2 linked regions of the Tamandua tetradactyla genome follow. The protein of the gene in region 1 interacts with the protein of each later gene in a biochemical or structural test. Links are inferred from orthologs where the notes say so. Each region holds a gene or a part of one and is shown on either strand. Other genes may lie near its edges. The genes, in order: FZD7 and DVL1.

Evidence for each region.
Region 2: the proteins of FZD7 (region 1) and DVL1 form a complex in vitro, tested with the Homo sapiens proteins (2 studies listed by BioGRID and IntAct, with this or other methods). The link is inferred for Tamandua tetradactyla from reciprocal best matches to the Homo sapiens genes FZD7 and DVL1.

What each region holds. Positions count from the first base shown.
Region 1 is NC_135329.1:176,689,073-176,698,236, forward strand, and holds the start of FZD7 (frizzled-7), read left to right. Parts: upstream 1-4,975; 5' UTR 4,976-5,803; coding exon 5,804-7,528; 3' UTR 7,529-9,164. UniProt on the Homo sapiens protein: Receptor for Wnt proteins.
Region 2 is NC_135328.1:223,548,416-223,557,499, reverse strand, and holds the start of DVL1 (segment polarity protein dishevelled homolog DVL-1), read right to left. Parts: upstream 3,821-9,084; 5' UTR 3,784-3,820; coding exon 3,614-3,783; intron 1-3,613. Other genes in the region: MXRA8 (matrix remodeling-associated protein 8), read right to left, coding at 6,927-6,952, 7,196-7,276, 7,369-7,445, 7,538-7,574, 7,997-8,155, 8,324-8,794, 8,890-8,991. UniProt on the Homo sapiens protein: Participates in Wnt signaling by binding to the cytoplasmic C-terminus of frizzled family members and transducing the Wnt signal to down-stream effectors. Plays a role both in canonical and non-canonical Wnt signaling.

The sequences.
Region 1 (9,164 bases):
TAAACATTTACCAGTATACCGCTTGTAAAAAATCACAACCTCAACAGAGAGCCAGAGCCATAAAATATACAGCTAACTTAGCTTTTTACTTTATCTCTGTGATGTGCATCCAAATAACCAAACCAGGATTCTGCCCTCATCACAAAGCATTTTGTAAACATTATCCCATTAATCCTCACAACATTCTGGGAGAGCTAGGGCGGTTAAGCGACTTGCCTGAGGCATCACAGGAAATCGATGGTGAAAGCAGAACTAAACCGGTCTGTACTAACCACCTCTGCAACCCTTCCTACACAACAGTACAGTACAGCATGGCACTGAAGACATGGATAACAAGTAATAACAGTGCTTTTATCACATAACCCAAATAGCCAAAGTCTCTTTCTACAGACTTATGGCCCAACATCCTGTCTTTTGAGTACAGTTTGACACTCCAGGATGGCCCACCCTCTGTACTTGGAGGTTTTTCTCCAGGGTTAGTAATGGTCTTTTATTAACCAACTTTCTCCACATTCTTTCTCTCTCTAGTCCGATGTTTAAAAAATAGGTGGCCAAAGTTAGGATTCTGTTTTCACTCTAACAGGTGCAAAGGGCATCGTAACCAGTCAACACTATGTTTTATTTGTGACCTTTTTTCTGGACTCCCCAAGGGCAGAGACTCCAGATTTGTTTCACTCTGTGGCCTCATCTCCATATTACTTTGGAAATGAATGAACAATATTTGCAGTAGGCAGTCTCTGAAATGGCTCCCGATGATCCTTGCCCTCCATGGGTTTTCACACCCTCCAGTGTGGGCAGACTTAGTGACTAGCTTCTAATGAGTAGAATAAAGCAGATATGACAAGATGTCACTTGAAAGACTAACTTACAAAAAGACTATAGCTTCCCTTCTTTTCTCTCTCTCTTTTTCTCTCTCAGCCCTTGCTCCACGGGAAGACAAATGCCTCTAGGACAGATCCACTCAGCAAGGAACTGATGTCTTTGGCCAACAGTTAGCAAGAACCTGAGGCCTGCCAACAACCCCATTATGAGTCTGGAGATGAATCCTCCTCCGACTGAGCTGTGAGGCAGTTACAACTATGACAAACACCATGACTACTGTCTTGTGAGAGACCCTAAGCCCGAAGACCCAGCTTAAGTGCACCCGTATTCCTGACACACAAATTTTGAGTTATAAATTGCTGTTTTAAGCTGTGATAAAAGAAAAGCTTTTTAACAACATGAAAATTAGGATCTTACAGCTTGAGATCTCATGAGCAACCCATGAATTAAGCAGCATCCCATCCAGAAAGTAGAGGGGAGTTCTGAACGGTAGTAGAAAGAGTAGGCTACTCTCTTTCTAGAAGAGAAGGAAGCTAGCAGTATAAATGACTCCACTGCCTTTCTCAAGAGATTATTCTTACATGGATAATGCCAAGCCAGAAGAGGGTTAGGACACACAAACTAACTGGAGATGGCAGACTATGATGGAGAGCTGAGGCTCACAGGAAACAGCAGTTAAGTTTCAGTTTACTGACATGGGGCTTTGCATGAGCAGCTCCATCTTGGTCCTATGTGCATTCTTTAAGAGCCGTTACGTTTTGGGACAGTTTGTTACATAGCAATAGATAATTAATACAACCCTTAACCAACAAGGGAGATAGTGGTCAGATTCAGTGACTAAATCTGTCATATAAGTCCTCTCTACAGGATGGGACTAACCACACCAAGTTTTAGCATGATCCTCTTCTTATTCAAGCTGGACATTTCTAAATCTCATGACATTTGAAAGTCAGTTTTAGAGACATGAATGTACCCATTTTTTTGTTTTGGAGCGAACCAGCACCCCAAACTAAAATGCACAGAAGCCAATGGCTACCTGGTAACTGGGAATTTCAAGTCCTCTATTTCATGATGTACAAATTGTTTAGTTAAAAGACAGACCAAAAAGGGAAGTATGTGCTAAAAGCTGCACATGAGTTAATTCTTGAAGCTGGAGTTTCTTTATAATCACAGTATTGTGGTGCCACAAAGATGGCCCATTTTCAAATCTGGCCTGACATTAGAATGGGTCATTCAACTAGATAAACCTGGGATCTGGCCAAAATACATAGCATTTAAAAATTTAAGCTAATCAATAGCATCACTTTTCTGTGGGACCACATGCCTATGGAATGAAGAAATAAGACTTTTGTTGTTTTGAAGGGCAGGTACAATTGGAAGTTTTGGATCAGACAGTTTCAAAATTTCCCACCCTCAGCTCTAAGATACCAGTTAGTGGCTTTGGGAACTGGGTGGGGAAGATGTTGCTCGGAAAACATTAAATTGGCCCTGGACAGAATGTAAACCGGCATTATTACATTTATCATAAGCTTAACGGTTATTTAATCCTCTATGCTGTGCACTTTTTCTGATTTGCTCCCTTTTATTACTTAGCTTCTTGAAATCATAGCATTCTTTAACAGTAAAGTGTAGAAGGCTACGGTATCCTTCTCACAAACAGCAATTTCTCATTTTCCAGAATAATTTTTGAATTTTTAAAATATCACCTTAAAAAAAAACCTAAAACATTCTCCAAAACGTTTGTCTTTGTTTCTCTGCTTTTGCAATTTATTGCCTAGGACACAGCAAGAGTTCTCACATCTGTGGCACTTTCCATCTGGGATCAGTTTTCTATATCCTTCTGCATAGATTGTTTTAAAAATATTTCATTCATTCCTTGTATTTTTTTTTAAAGGCTCTCTCTTTTTCTTTCCAAATTATCATCCCTATTACCTAACATCAGGGAACCGTCTGGAACTATAATATGAGGAGTAGAAGTTGTGTTTGAGACTCGGTATTTTTTCCTGTTGGTTTTCATCTTATTTGATAGTACTTGCTATTTCTTCCTCAATAAGCAAAGATGACTTAAATCAGCAGCCTGATGAATAAGTATGAAATTTGATTTAGAAAAGGAGGGTATCCTGAAGCTCACAGAGAAAAAGGAATTTCCAAAGCCCCATTCACTCTATCCCCCACCACACACATTTTAAATGACAAAACAAAACAACAGCATTGTCTTTAAGCACTATCTTTCAATGCAGTATCAATGCTTCCAGAGGTAAGGTAATTAAGGTAATAGGAATAATCATTTAGAAAGAAGGAGAGCTCTTAAAAACTGTACAAGGGAGGAATGAAACATTTCAAAGCAAATATTACTCCTTCCTATTACCTTGAGACAGATACACCAACAGGAAAAAAAAAAAATTACCAGCCCAGGCATGAGAGAGAAAGCTGAGGCCCAGGAGGAATAAAGATGTGGCTTTCCACTGAGGGCGGGAAGGAGGATGCAAGCAGTAGGACACCCCTACCTCTGCCCAAAGCTTTCCCGCCACTAGATGCATAAACAGGAGGGCGAGTGAAAAACCGCAAAGAACTGTGAAAGAAAGATTTTCAGTACATATCAATAATACAGAACACATAAAAGAAAAACAGAGAAACTCATAGTCTCCTATAGAAGAGAACCCAATTAATTGTCTTAGATTTCAAAATTGTGGTTTTTTACTTTTTCTTTTTTTCCTTCTTTCTGGAGAAAGCTTGGAAGCAGCAGCAGCAGCACCAGGGGCAGCAGAGGCAAGAACTTCTGCAATCCCTCAACCTGATCAGAAATCCCTGAGAGCTCCAGCACTGGAAACTGAGACTAGCAGAAAGGGCTCCGCCAAGAGTGAAGTGTTTTTGTTTGTTCGTTTTTTAAAGAATTGCTCTGTTTGTGTTTGTGTGTGTGTGAGAGAGAGAGAGAGAGAGAGAGAAATTGATTTTTCTTTTCCTTCTCAATTTGTCATTTTCCTGGATGGAAATTCACGATAATCCTCGCTAGAAGCCCCCAGGTAATTTGCGGCCTGGTCCTGAATAACTCGAGAGCGCGCGCGAGCTCCCAGCGCCTCGAGCTGGGCGAAGATTTGAGAACAAAAGAATGTTTGCCAATCAGAAAACGATACGAACGAAGATGACTCCTCTTTGTGTTTTGAAAACTCCTTAATTAGTAAATGGCCCTGGTTTCTAGTACACACTCAAACTTTTCTACGCAGTTTCCAAATGGAGAATCAAATAATTGCTTCTGCGACAAAAATGGGATCCTGAATGGTCTTACGCCGCAGAACTAAGGAAACAGGGCAACAGAAGTCGCGCTGTAAATCGTAGAGTGTTCTTGGGCTCTCGGTCTCGGGATACTTTCATAACCATTTATCCCACATACTAAAGCTTCCCCAGCTCCCCAGACGCAGGCCGCGCGCGCGGTCGGGGTGGCCCGGAGTCGAGGTATCCCGCGCCCCCTGCTCCTGGGTCCTCTCCCCTCGGAAGGGTCTGCATTTCCTCCCGCCTTAAGTCCGGCCGCTCCGCCCCATTCTGCTTTCTCCTCCGAGGCTGCTACCCCTCCTTTTTACAACTGGGGGGGGGGGGGCGTGAGAGGGCCTCACAGCCTCACGTGGTCTATTTGGGTCTAAGGAGAGAAAAGACCACAAGACGCACCCCTTTTCCCGCCCCGATCCGAATCCCTCACTTAGGATTCGGCTACTCGCTCTTCTGAGCTCGGGCAGGGCTAACGTGACTACAGGTCACGTCTCTCTTCGGTTGAGGCGCTGCGCTATTTTCAGCTTCTCCCCGCAAAAGCCTTTCCGAATGCACCCTTCTGTTCAGGAATGTGCATTTTGGTGTACCCAGAATAAGAACCTATCTTTCAAGCAAATTCCCTTTCTGGTGCGTTTTCCCCCCAGAGCGAATTCAGGGTACAAGTTTTTTCTAACTTTTCCGTCTCACCCCCTACCCCTCCCCTCAGGAATCCGCCCAAAGCTCTGCAGACTCCGCCGGCCCAATTCCCTTGCCCGCCCCTTCCGACTTCTACCCAATGCGGAGGCGGCAATAGAGAAAACAAAGGCCATCATTGGGCCACCCTGGGGCTCGGGTCCGCCCCCGGAGTGGTTTGTGAATGGGGGGAGGGGAAGGGGCGGGGCGGCCCGGGTCTCTCCAAGCCCAACGCCTCTTCTGCGGAGTTGCGCGGCTCCGAGGCGTTACTCGACACTCTCTCCTGGGGCGCGGGGTGGCGGCTGCTGAAGCCAGGACTCGCGAGCTAGGGTTCTGCGGGACTGGAGAGGCTGGGCCCAGACTGCGAGGTCTCTCAGCAGTGTAACTGGATTTCCAAAAAGAACTCGCTGAGTTCTTGGCTGAAAGGCGCAGATCGGACTCACAGCGAAAATAAGGCGCTTGGCTGAAACTTGGGCCCGAGCTTTTGGGGCTGAAGAAGAAACGGGGAGTGGAGGAGGAGGCGGCGAGCAGAGCCTCGAGGCGAGGGGGCGGAGCAGTACCGCCGAGGCTGCAGCCGGGGCTACCAGGCGGCGGCGCCGGGCTCTCGCTTGGCGAGGGACAGACTTGGTGTGGGGGGCGTGCGCATTATTGTGCACTGGGGGTCGAGAGACTTGGGCAAACTTTGAAAGACAACCGGAGACGCTTGTTGCTCCTTGTCTCAGAGAAAGGCGCACCGTTACGTCTTGGCCGGGAGGGGAAAACTGTTCCCCTCCGCGCCCCTGGCTCCAGCGGACGAGTTTTGGGGCCCCGGAGGCGGCGTGAGTCGGTGGAGGCGGTTGCGGCGCCCGGGTGGCTGGCGATCTCGCCTCCGCCGCGCAGACAACGAGGCGGCAGCGCCCTTGCCTCCACGCTGCCCACAGCCGGGCCCCGGCGCCGGGAGGACTCTCATGCGCCCGGCGCGGCGGCGCCTCTCGGGATCCAAGCCTGTCTCAGCCGCCTAGTCGCGCTCCTTGGGCTGAGAGCGTCGCTGCTCCAGCTGCCGGAGATGCGGGGTCCCGGCGCGGCGGCGTCCTGCTCATCCCTGGGTCTGTGCGCCCTGGTGCTGGCACTGGTGGGCGCGTTGCCCGCGGGCGCCGGGGCGCAACCGTACCATGGCGAGAAGGGCATCTCGGTGCCGGACCACGGCTTCTGCCAGCCCATCTCCATCCCGCTGTGCACGGATATCGCCTACAACCAGACCATCCTGCCCAACCTGCTAGGTCACACGAATCAAGAGGACGCGGGCCTTGAGGTGCACCAGTTCTACCCTCTGGTGAAGGTGCAGTGCTCGCCCGAGTTGCGCTTCTTCCTATGCTCCATGTACGCGCCTGTGTGCACCGTGCTGGAGCAGGCCATCCCGCCGTGCCGCTCCTTGTGCGAGCGCGCCCGCCAGGGCTGTGAGGCGCTCATGAACAAGTTCGGCTTCCAGTGGCCGGAGAGGCTGCGCTGCGAGAACTTCCCGGTGCACGGAGCCGGCGAGATCTGCGTGGGCCAAAACACCTCCGACGGCTCGGGAGGCCCCGGCGGCGGCCCCACAGCCTACCCCACCGCGCCCTACCTGCCGGATTTACCCTTCACTGCGCTGCCCCCGGGGGGCGCAGACGGCAGGGACCGCTTGGGTTTCCCCTTCTCGTGTCCCCGCCAGCTCAAGGTGCCCCCTTATCTGGGATACCGCTTCCTGGGCGAGCGCGACTGCGGCGCCCCGTGCGAGCCGGGTCGAGCAAACGGCCTCATGTACTTTAAGGAGGAGGAGAGGCGCTTCGCCCGCCTCTGGGTGGGCGTGTGGTCGGTCCTGTGCTGCGCCTCGACGCTCTTCACCGTGCTCACCTACCTGGTGGACATGCGGCGCTTCAGCTACCCTGAGCGGCCCATCATCTTCCTGTCGGGCTGCTACTTCATGGTGGCGGTGGCGCACGTGGCCGGCTTCCTGCTGGAGGACCGCGCTGTGTGCGTGGAGCGCTTCTCGGACGATGGCTACCGCACGGTGGCGCAGGGCACCAAGAAGGAGGGCTGCACCATTCTCTTCATGGTGCTCTACTTCTTCGGCATGGCCAGCTCCATCTGGTGGGTCATCCTGTCGCTCACCTGGTTCCTGGCGGCCGGCATGAAGTGGGGCCATGAAGCCATCGAGGCCAACTCGCAGTACTTCCACCTGGCCGCGTGGGCCGTGCCCGCCGTCAAGACCATCACTATCCTGGCCATGGGCCAGGTGGACGGGGACCTGCTCAGCGGGGTGTGCTACGTGGGCCTGTCGAGCGTGGACGCACTGCGGGGCTTCGTGCTGGCACCCCTGTTTGTCTACCTCTTCATCGGTACGTCCTTCTTGCTGGCGGGCTTCGTGTCTCTCTTCCGCATCCGCACCATCATGAAGCACGACGGCACCAAGACCGAGAAGCTGGAGAAGCTGATGGTGCGCATCGGCGTCTTCAGCGTGCTCTACACGGTGCCAGCTACCATCGTGCTGGCTTGCTACTTCTACGAGCAGGCCTTCCGCGAGCATTGGGAGCGCACCTGGCTCCTGCAGACGTGCAAGAGCTACGCGGTGCCGTGTCCTCCCGGCCACTTCCCGCCCATGAGCCCCGACTTCACCGTCTTCATGATCAAGTACCTGATGACCATGATCGTAGGGATCACCACCGGTTTCTGGATCTGGTCCGGCAAGACCCTGCAGTCGTGGCGCCGCTTCTACCACAGGTTCAGCCACAGCAGCAAGGGGGAGACTGCGGTATGAGCCCCGGCAGCTCCCGGAGTGAGCCCCCACCCCCTTGCAAGGGGGAGAGACGCGGTAGGGAAACAAATAATGAGGGGGGAGCGTTTCTGTAACCTCCCACCCTCCGCTGAGAGAAGTGACCTGGAGGAGAGAAGTTTGGAGATTTGAGGCGAGGGGTGGGTTTGGAAAGGAGGCCTGGGTGAAAAGACTTCTGGCAAAGACTTGCAGGATAATACTAAATAATGAGAGTCTTAATTAGGTAAGGTATGGGCAGACTTGGGCCTATCGAGACAGTTGAGACCAACAGAGACTGCCCTACTTTCCTCCTGGTTCAGGGGCTGAACTGGGGCTGTGAGCGATTCCTCTGCTGTAAGGAAAGTGGCCTGTCTCCACTCCTGTGAGGCCCTGGTGAAAGGTACAGCGCTGTCTGCAGCGGCCGCTTTGTTGGGGACAGGGAGGACTCCCCGCGGTGTTCTTGTCAAGCGGTGGTCAAACCATAATCTCTTTTCACTGGGGCCAAACTGGAGCCCAGATGGGTTAATTTCCAGGGTCAGACATTACAGTGTCTCCTCCCTTACCCCCCTCTGGCCTGTTTTTCCTCCTCTTCTCCTTTCAAGTCTTATAAGCATTGGCAAGTCTAGGGAGGCATGCCTCCTAGAATCCTAATGTGAAGATGCAAAAGAAATAGTGATAACATTTCTAGATGAGGCTAAGGAAAGGAGTAGTAGGTATTTCTGCTGCTTTTTAATTTTCTGGGAAGGCAGGAGAAAGAAAGAAGTGTGTTTTGTTTGGTTTCATACCCTGAAAAGAAGTGATGACTTGTTGCTTTTTCTAAACAGGAATGCATTTTTTACCCTTGTCTTTGTTGTAAGAGACAAAAGAGGAAACAAAAGTGTCTCCCTGTGGAAAGGTGTAACTGTGAAAGACAGCAACTCTTACAGGCAAAGTAGCGCAAATCGGAGGTTTCCCTTTGGATGTTAATTTGGTTGAGATAAACATTCCTTTTTAAGGAAAAGTGAAGGGCAGCATGCTTTCGTGCCCAGTTCAGTCAGAGGTTTTCTGACTTGGCTGAAGGAAATGCAAGGGGTTTTGTTGTTGTGTTTGTTTTAAATAAATTTAATTCAGAACACATGATCAAACAGGCTGGGTCGGTTAACATGTTCAGGGAAATCGCTCCTTTTTTTCTTTTGTAAGGCTGTGTTTAGGGTTTGTGTTTTTTTTTTCTCCATTTAGAAACCTTCAAGATGAAAGGAAAGCACAATGCCCTCAGCCTCATAATAAAGGAAATTTTTTTTTAAAGTAAAGAACCATTTTGTCCTGTTTTCTTAATTTCATAAATCTATTTATGAAACATCATGTGTATACTGACCCTGTCTTTTGTGTATTTGGGTAGGGACATGATCTACAGAGATAATAGTGAATGAAGAGGAAAGTTTCAACTGTGGGCCCCATTTTTAAGGAAACTCATTAAAAGAAGGTAAACTTCAAAGTAATTCTGGAGTTCTTTGAAATGTGCTGGATGACTTAAATTTATTAATCTTAAATCATGTACTTTTTTTTCTATAATAGAACTCTTGATTCTTTTGCATAATGTTCTAAAACTGAGCAAAGAATCATTGAAGCTAACCTTTACTCCCCGTTTGACACTGCCCTCCAA
Region 2 (9,084 bases), on another chromosome or scaffold:
GGCCTCACCTTCCCCACCCCCGGGCAAGTCCCTGGCTCCGGGGGACACAGGAGGTGGGGGTGGGAATGGACAGCAGAGCCGGTGCTGGGTGGTGACAGAAAGCCTCTGTGGCCCTGGCCAGCCTCCACTGGGGCCTCATCCCCCCTTATGGCTCCTGATTCCTCTCCTGCCCAGACCCCCATGAGGCTCCAATGCGCACCTCACCACCCCACCAAGCCTCTGGACACCCACTGCCCCTCTCTGACAGGCCCCACCCTCCGGGAGCTCAGGGGTCAGGCTCAGCTCCTCAGGTCCCACACCCCAAACCCACCCCCTCCCCAGACCTGTCCTTCTCAGCAGCTCCCTGCCCTACCCAGGTCCGACCCTGCCATGTCCCTCTGCACTCAGACCACCCACCTGGCAGGGCCCTCACACCCCCAGCCAGGGCTGGTCCCCACCTCCTTCCCTCTTCTTCAGGGCTGCACTCAAACACCCCTAAAACAAACAGCACCCCCACTCAACACTACAGCACAGCACCACGTGATGCGTCCATCTGCCTGGCTCCATGTCCCTGTGTCCCACAGGCCTGAGGTGCCAGGAGGGTGCCAGCGGTTCCCCAGAACTGTGTGGGTGCATAGCAGACCCTCCCAGGCACAGGCCGAGGCAGCACCCACCCTCCCACCAGGGCAGCAGGTGCAAACCACACACCCCCCCCCCCGCTGGGCCAGTCCCCACTCTGAGGGTACCCCCGACCCTGGAGGTGGCAGGACACAGCCAACTGGGCCAGCACCCCTCCAGCCACCTGCACAAGCCACCATCTAGACGCTCACCCCATCAGGGGTGTCAGCGGGTGTCAGCGGGCTGTTGGGGGGAGAGCCTGAGCCACTCCAACGAGAAAAGAGGGAGGCCAGGCATAGGATGCAGGGCCCAGCACAATTGTCCACGCCCAGGACTGTGTCTGGTGGAGAAGTGGGAGCCCGGTAGGGCCGGGAGCACACCTGACAGGAAGCACCTCTGGTCTGGACACCAGCGGCAGATGGACAAGGGCCACAGCCCCTCCTGAAGCACACGCAATAGAGAGGCCAGCAAGGAGGCACCATCCCAGGCTCCCATGGCTGCCCCCAGTTGTCTCCCAGGGCTGGGCCAGCCCCCGGGCACAAACCGTCAACCCCACAAGGCCCCTGGCAAGACACAGGTGCCCACCCAGCGCCCCGCTCCCGCTGAACCACAACAGGTCCCCCAGCGAGCACACCAGAGGCCCCGAGGGCTAAGCACGAGCCTCCCTGGAGACAACCCCGCCCCCAGCGCCTGCTCACCCCATCCCTGTGGGCCACCCCTCCCTTCTCTGGAGTCATCACCCCCCTGCACGACCACTTCCCCGCCAGCCACCAGAGGCCGCAGCATGGTGGGCACCCCAGTGACCCGCCTGGTGAGGCCCAGAGGATGTGACAGGGTGCCAAGACAACGGGAGGAAGGTGGCAGAGATGGCCTGGAACTCCGTGGCCAGCGCTTGCCCCTGCCCCCAAGAGGGCCCAAAGGCCAGAGTCCCACACAGGGCTCTCTATTGGAGCCAGCAAGGCACAGCTTTGCTGACAGTTCCAAGGATGGAACGAGATCTGGGGGTGGAGGAGGCCACAGGTGGGGGCTCATCGTCCAACTCTGCCACTGTGGGGCTGGGCCTCTGGGCAGGGGAATGGACTCCGTCTCCATAGGCCACAGGTGCCCTGCAAGGGCCCCCCCCCACCTGCCTCACGATTCTTGGCACGGTCCCGGTCACCTGGGACTTAGACTGTGGCCCCACCCACCACCCCCACAGCCCCGCCCCAGCCAGGAATCTGCTCTGGGAGGCTGAGGCACTGCTCCTGGAAGCAGCTCAGCCCAGGCCAGACCCCAGAGGGACACCCCAACAGCGCCCCTAGAGGCCCAGGACCCCCCACCACACCGCTTGTCCAGCCCGCGAAGGACAGGACACAGGCTGGCAAGCGGGAGGACGGGGTGGCCCGCAGCTCTCAAAGAGCACCCTGCATGCCAGGGCTTCTCAGACTCCACCCACCTCCAGGCGCTGCCTACATGAGTCTGGGGTTCTTTGGCCCCCCACCCCCGTCAGAAGTTACCTGCACAAGCCCCACCCCATACCTAGGAACTGCCTTGGCAAGCCCAGGGGTCCTCAGCCCCCACGGAGCCTTGGCATGGCCTGCTCCCTGCAGCTAGCCAGCACCCACTCCTCACTCCTGACTGGCCTGGCCACCCCAGGATCCCACCCCGTAGACCACAAACTGACTCTCTCTGAATCCCCTTCTTGGTACCTGCCGGGCACAGCTGGGGAGGGCAGAGGGAGCGCTCGGCCCAAGCACTCAACCCCTGCCCCGCAGCCCCACGAACACAGGTGGCCGTCAAAACACCTGTGCCCACGAACACAGTAACTGGCGTCCCTAAGCCCCCAAGCCCCCTGCCCCTTCCCCTCCCTGCCTCAATCACCCTCCCCCAAGGTGACACCCTCCCTGCACAACCACCTACCAAACCCCTACGCCTGGAACCTCCAGGCCAGCCTGCCACAGGCTCGCCTCCTGCCCCTCCCCATCCCTACAGCCCCCCTCTCCCCACCCCATCCCAAGGAACCCCAGCCAGGAAGACCTGGGGGCACTCGGCCTTCAGAGGCGGCCAGGGGTGCCCCACCCCCGCTCTCCTTGCCCCCCAGTCCTGAGAGCTGCCCCGGGCCTGGGCCTGGCCTGACCTGGGCCTGCACGTGCAAACCAGAGTCCAGAAAACAGCTTCAATGTCAAAGACCCAGGACACGGAGGCACACAAGGGCACAGGCTCGCCTGAGGGTGGCCAGGGTGCACCTGCTCCAGCCAGCAAGGCCAGTGAGAGCCACCCCGCCCTCCCCGCACTGGGACTCGGGTTACGAGCCGTGCTGGGTCAGGCCTCGGTAGCCAGCCAGCCTCCTGCTCACCATCCTGGCCACCCAGCCCTGTGCAGTGCACAGGTCCCCTTGCCCAGGACAGTCAGGCCGAGACCAGGTGCTGCCCAGGCCCGCAGGTGCCCCAGGTGGCTCAGCAGGGACAGAGGCCCTACAGCCAGGAACCCCAGGGCAGGAGTGGACAGACTGACACCCGGGTTCCCAGTGACTCTTGCCTGTCAGGCCCCTGGAAACTTCTGTAGACCCCAAAAGACAGACCCCTGTCCTGGCCCACCCTGCTTTCCTACCCTGACCAGTCTCTGTCCCCACCCCAAGGTCCCTCCACCCTGACACCCCAACCCACCTCTGTGAACCACACACCCTGCAGGCCAGCCCTGCAGCTCCGCCCCCCCCCAGCCCCGAGCCTGGGCCTAGACAGGGCCGGGCTGCGGAGAGGCTGCTCCTGGGCCACAGGCCTGACAGTAGGTCAGGTGCGCGGGGGCACACCACGATGGGGAGGCAGGGACCCTCCCCCGGCCCCGGTCTGGAGCTGCCAGGCTCCTAGGCACAGGCAGGTGGGCACCCGCAGAGTGGCCGGCAGCAGGGGCAGCAGGCCGGGACCCGGGGCGCTGGGGCAGCGCACAGGCCCCAGAGCCCGCGGCCCTGCGCGGCGCAGACAGGTGCCGCGATGCGCGCCGCCCCCGACCCCGGAAGAGCGGCCGCGCGGGGACTGACCCGAAGTCCTGGTCCATGGACTTGAAGAAGAATTTGTAGGCGTGCACCGGCCGGTTGCTGAGCACGTTCTTGAAGTCGGCCAGCGTGACGCGCTCGGGGGCCACGGGCAGCTTGACCAGGTACGGCGTCTCCTCCTCATCCAGGTGGTAGATGATCTTGGTCTCCGCCATGCCGCGGCCCGGGGCTCGGGGCGCGCCCCCCCGCCGGCCTGCGCCCCGCCCGCCCGCCCGCCGCGCCGCCTCCTCCCGGCCCCGCCCGGCCGCCCCGGCCCGGCCCGCGGCCCCGGCTCCCGCTCCGGCCCCGGCTGCTGCCCCGCGGCCCGCGCCCGCCCATCCGCCCCCGGCCGCCGGGGCCGCGGGCGCGAGGGGAGCAGCGGGAGGGGCGCGCTCGCCCGTCGGGCCGCCCCCCGCGCGTCCGTGCGTCCGGCTGCCGCGCCCGCCCCGCGCGCCCCGCCCCGCGCCGCCGCCGCCGCCGCCCCCTCGGGCCGCGCGCAGTTAAAGGGCCGGCCCGAGGCCCGAGCGGGAGCCGCCGGGGGCGCCCGAGAGCGCTGAGGGTGGGTGGGGGGGACGACGTCACCGAGCCCGCGGGGGAGGGGCTGCGCAGGCGCGGGGCTGGCAGGGGTGGGGTGTGCTCACCGGCCCCGCCCCTCTCCCGGGACGCGCGCGCACTCGCTGGCCCGACTCTCCGCGCGGGCCTCGCCGGGTTGGGCCGGTGGGCGGGGCCTCGACTGGCTCCGCCCCCGCCCCAGCTGTCAGAAGGGAGTCCCCGCCGCCGGGAGCTTGGGGAGTCGCCGCGAAATCGCCTGGTCGGAGGTCTCGACCCTCCTCCCCTCCCGAGGACTCCCAGCGTCCGTGGGCGCTCAGAGCCCGGAAGCGCCCGGGGCACCGGGGCCGGCTGCAGGGCCGGGCGTGAGGCCGAGGATGTCCTGCGCCCCGGCTGGGGTTAGGGTCCTCGGTCACCTCTCGCCCCATGCCCGCTCCGCGCTCCCGCGTCTTCTGTCTGGTCCCACGGGAGATCTGAGAAGCCTAGGCCCAGAGTGGTCGCGGGCGCCTGCGGGGACGCTTGCTGCCTTTGTGAGCGCGTGTCTGGGTGGCCGCTGGAGGGGACAGCGGGGCTCAGCGCTAGCAGGGGAGCGCCCTCTCCCACTTGGGCACAGATGTTTGGCGGACGCTGGGAAGGGAGGCCGCGAGGCCACTAGGGGCGTCCTAGGCTGGCCAGGCAGGAGGAAGACCCCAGGCCGCGGGCAGAGCATGCGATGCTGATCACCCCTGGTGACCACCCAGACCAGCCTTGCCCCATCCCCACCCCGCCTGGAGGCTGGGGCACTCTGGGGAAAGACCCCAGCAGTCCAACTGTGGCCTGAGTGGTTAGGCTGGGAACACCCCCAGGGCAGCCTAGGTTAGGGTCCCGACTCCCGTGGCTCTCAGCTGTGATGGAGTGAGTGGGCAGGGCTCTGCTGGAGGCGGCCTCTGCCAGCTTGGCACCTGAGGACTCGGTTTCCCCAGTGGTAGACCGAGGAAGCCATGCAGCGTGACTGCTGGGGAGTCTGCCATGACTGTCTGCTGGGTTCCCCAGGAAGAAAGAAGATGGCCTTGATGCCCCCTGGGGGATGGCACCCTCCAGGACAGCCCGGCTGTGGCCGGTCAGGGGGAGCCAGCAGCATACAACCAGAGGAGGGGTCTCTGTCCTCCAGTCCCTGAGGCCTTCCTCTCCTACCTTACCCTCAGCCCAAGTCATGAGGCAGCTGGAGAGGCTGGCAGCGGAGCCCTGGGGGCATTAGTGGGGAGGGGCCCTGCGGGGCGGCCCTCATCCGGCCACAGTGCAGCCATGGTGAGCCCAAGGTCACCATGGGCTGGGGGGAGCTGCCTCGTCCAACGAACCGTAGCTCCCTTTCCTGCCCACCTTTGCTATTGTGCGGTCACCCTTCCCCAGCCCCTGCTCTCCTGGGAGAGAGAATGAAGGTGATAAGTCACAAAGGCCACATCCAAACAGCTGGCTTTTTGCCGGGGGCCGCTGCAGGCTGGGTCTCCTCCCGCTTACACCACCTCCCCACCTGTCTCTCCCAGGTGACAGTCCAGCTTCCCGCTGTGAAGATCTTGCCTGCTCCTGCCTCTGCCTCCTTGCACATCTCATCTCAGCGTGTGTTTGGAGGACTTGTACTCATGCAGCTGCCCTCATCCTACCACAATGTTCCCCTCCCCCATGTGCAAATAAGCCCTTGTGCGAGAATCTGTCTCCAGTGTCGCTGTTCCCAGTGTTCTGAACACTAGCCAGACCCAAACCCTCTGCTCCAGGGCTCGGGGTGACAGTGCAGGTGAAGGTGCTGAGGTTCGGCCCACAGGAGACAGAGGGGCAGCTGCAAGGCCCACCTGGGACCAGGCTCTGAAACCAGACGTGGACTTTATTGTGACAGCGGCAGTTCTCCAGAAGCAAACGTGGAGCGCTGGGCGTGGTGACAGGTGCCACCCCAGAACCATCTTCACCCCTCCCCTGTCCTCAACCAAAAGCAGAAGCCAATGTGGCCCCAGCCCCAGACGCCAGCCCAGGGAGGTGCAGGGACATGGTCAGGGTCAAAAGTCATACAGAATCGGGTGACTGTCGAGGCAGCTCACTGGAAACAGGGCTGAGTCACGCTGAAAGCAAAGGAAGGGGCAACAGGGCAGCCCCAGCTGGCCCAGAGCAGCACAGAGGGGCCTTAGCCCTGGGCCTGGAGAGTGCTGGTCCTCAGACCTCGTGCAGGGCAGGGTGCAGCCCAGCTGGGGTTTGGAGTAACCCAGTCTCAAGGCATCCTCACAACCTCAGGCTGCAGCAGGCAGCTCTCCTGCAGGAGCTTAGGGTGCTAGCCCTGGGGCTGACCCCCTGCAATCTCTGCTGAGCCCCTCCAAGAGCGCCTTTCCTGCCACAGCCCTGGGGAGGCAGGCTTCCCAGCCCCCTGCAAGCAGAGGCCAGGAGGGCAGAGGGCCTGGTGAACACTGGCAGAGTCTCGACTGTGCCAAGGAAGTTGGCCAGGGGGCAGGGCAGGGCCACCAGTGAGCACAGGAGCCAGCAAGGGCTGGCTGAAGGGGCAGTAGCCACATGCTGGCTGAGAGTCTCAGGGAGCCCACCCCTGCTTAAAAGGATTAGTGGGTCTACTGGAAAGGGGTCTGAAGGTAGCCCCACTCTGCAACAGTCCAGGCCGAGTTCCAGGAAAGCGGGACCAGCCGCTGGAGGGGATCCAGGTGGCACCAAGCACCTGAGGGTTGGTAGAACGTCCTCTGAGGTGGACAGAGAGAAGTTGGCAGAGCTTCTGGCCCAGCCAGGAGCCTAGGATCACTTATTTGCAGTATTCCTTCCTGAACTCTGCAAATCAAGGGAACACAGGCTGGGATCTGCTCTTTCCGCCTCCCTCTCAGTGGATTACTCAGGGCAGATACTCAGCAGGACTTCCCCAAGCCTGGAGCACAGCGGTGACAGGGGTCTCCTGACCATGCGGCTGGTTGAGTGTGGTGATTTCAGGGAGCCCTGGGAAGGGGTGGAGTGGGGCTGCATCTGGACTTGGAAATGGAAGGGACAGGCAGGGAGGGGCCCCCTACAGCCACTCACCTTTGTCCAAGTCAATGTGCTTGGCGGGCAGGGGGCCATGGGCCAGCTCAGCCCTCTCCTTCAGGATGTTGTTTTTGTAATCTGGTGTGGGGACAGAAGCAGTGTGAGACCCCCACCTACCCCGAGAAGGGCCTCTAACACCCGAGCCTGAGAGCCCTGCGGCCCACCCTCACCCAGTTGAATCTCCTCACTCCTGTAAAAACCCTGGTCCCCGGTGGCCACAGCCAGCTCGGCCAGGTTCACATCCTTCCTGGAAGAGAGAACCGTGGGGGGAGGTGAGAGTGGTGGGGATGGAAGAGGATCTGGTCCCAGGGCCAGCCCAGAGGTCGCACGCGCACTCACCCCTTGGACTTCCCTGACTTCTCTGTGTATTCATAGCCTGGGGAGGGAGACAGGTTGGGGACAGTCACACACACACACTCCTAGCAGCCCTCTCATCTAACCCAGGGAGCTCCCAGCCGCCCACCAGTGAACACAAGGGTTGCAGTGCCCCAAGACCCACCTCTGGACGGCACGTCCTCCCTCTTTCTACCCTCAGTCTCTGCTGTGAGCAGTCCCTGCGCTCCGGAGTTGGGTGCGGTGCCCAGCCCTCACCTCTGCAGGGCAGCCCTCACCCCCCCAGTGCCCAGCCCTCACCCCCAGGGCCCCACCCTCACCTCCGGACACCTGACCTTCACCTCCGGGCGCCCGACCCTCGCTCCCGGGCGCCAGACCTTCACCTCCGGGGACCCGACCTTCACCTCCGGGGGCCCGACCCTCACCCCCGGGGACCCGACCCTCGCCCCCGGGCCTGGCCCTCACCTCCACGGCGGCGCCTGCGGGTGGCCAGGGCGACGGTGATGAGCAGCAGGATAAAGAGCAGCAGCGTGGCCAGCACGTAGCCTAGCTGCTGGAAGAAGTGGGCCCGACCCTCTGGCACGATAACGTTGATGACGCTGCGGCCGCGCGCCAGGGTGGGGTCTGCGGGGCGGAGCAGGGGCTGCGTCAGGGGCGGCCGCGGCGGGACGCCCTCCTGAGGCCCCCGACGGGCCGGCTCCGAGGCCGGGGAGCGGGACCCGGAGCCGCCCCTCCAGACCGGCGTCCCGGGTGCCCGGCCCCAGGCCCAGGGTCCCCAGAGCGGCACCGTACCTGGGCCCGAGGCGCCGCTGTGGCTGGAGCCGTTGCCGGGCCGGGTCCGCGGCGGCGGGTCGGCGGCGGGCTGGGCGACGCTCAGGTGGAAGACGCGGCGCTCGTGCAGGCCGCAGTAGTGGTGATGCAGGTGGCAGGAGTAGGTGCCCTCGTCCGCTGGCTCCAGAGGGTCGATGTGCAGCGAGAAGTCGCCGCGCGCGAAGGCGTCGGCGCCCACCGCCATGCGCGCGTGCAGGAGGGGCGGCCCGTAGGCGCGGCGCTCGCCGGACGCGTACAGGTCGAGCAGGCGGTCGGCGCGGTCGTGCGGCACCCCCGGCGGCTGCCGGTCCCAGTGCGCCACCTGCTGCGCCTCCTCCACGTGCCGGTCGGTCCACACGTGTGCACGGTTCACGCAGGTCAGAAGCGCCGATGCGCCGCGCTGCACCGCCAGGACCTCCTTCTCGCCGTCCCAGCGCGCGCCGGCGGCCAGGGCTGCAGGGAGTGGCGGGGAGGTCACGGTCGAGGCCGGGCAGCCTCCAGGGCGGCGGGGGCGGGTGGGCACGGGGAAGAGGGGCGGGCACGCTCACGGTCGTCGGTGACCTCGAGGCGGATGGCTAGGCTCTCGTAGAGGTGGCAGTAATGGTGGTGCAGGTTGCAGGTGTACAGCCCCTCGTCCGTCTCCTCCACCGCTGCAGACCCGGGAGAAAACCCGCGACGTAAGCCCGCCATGCGGTGCTCGGCACCCGCCCGCGACCGGAATCCGCTGGTCCCCGGGGCCCTGC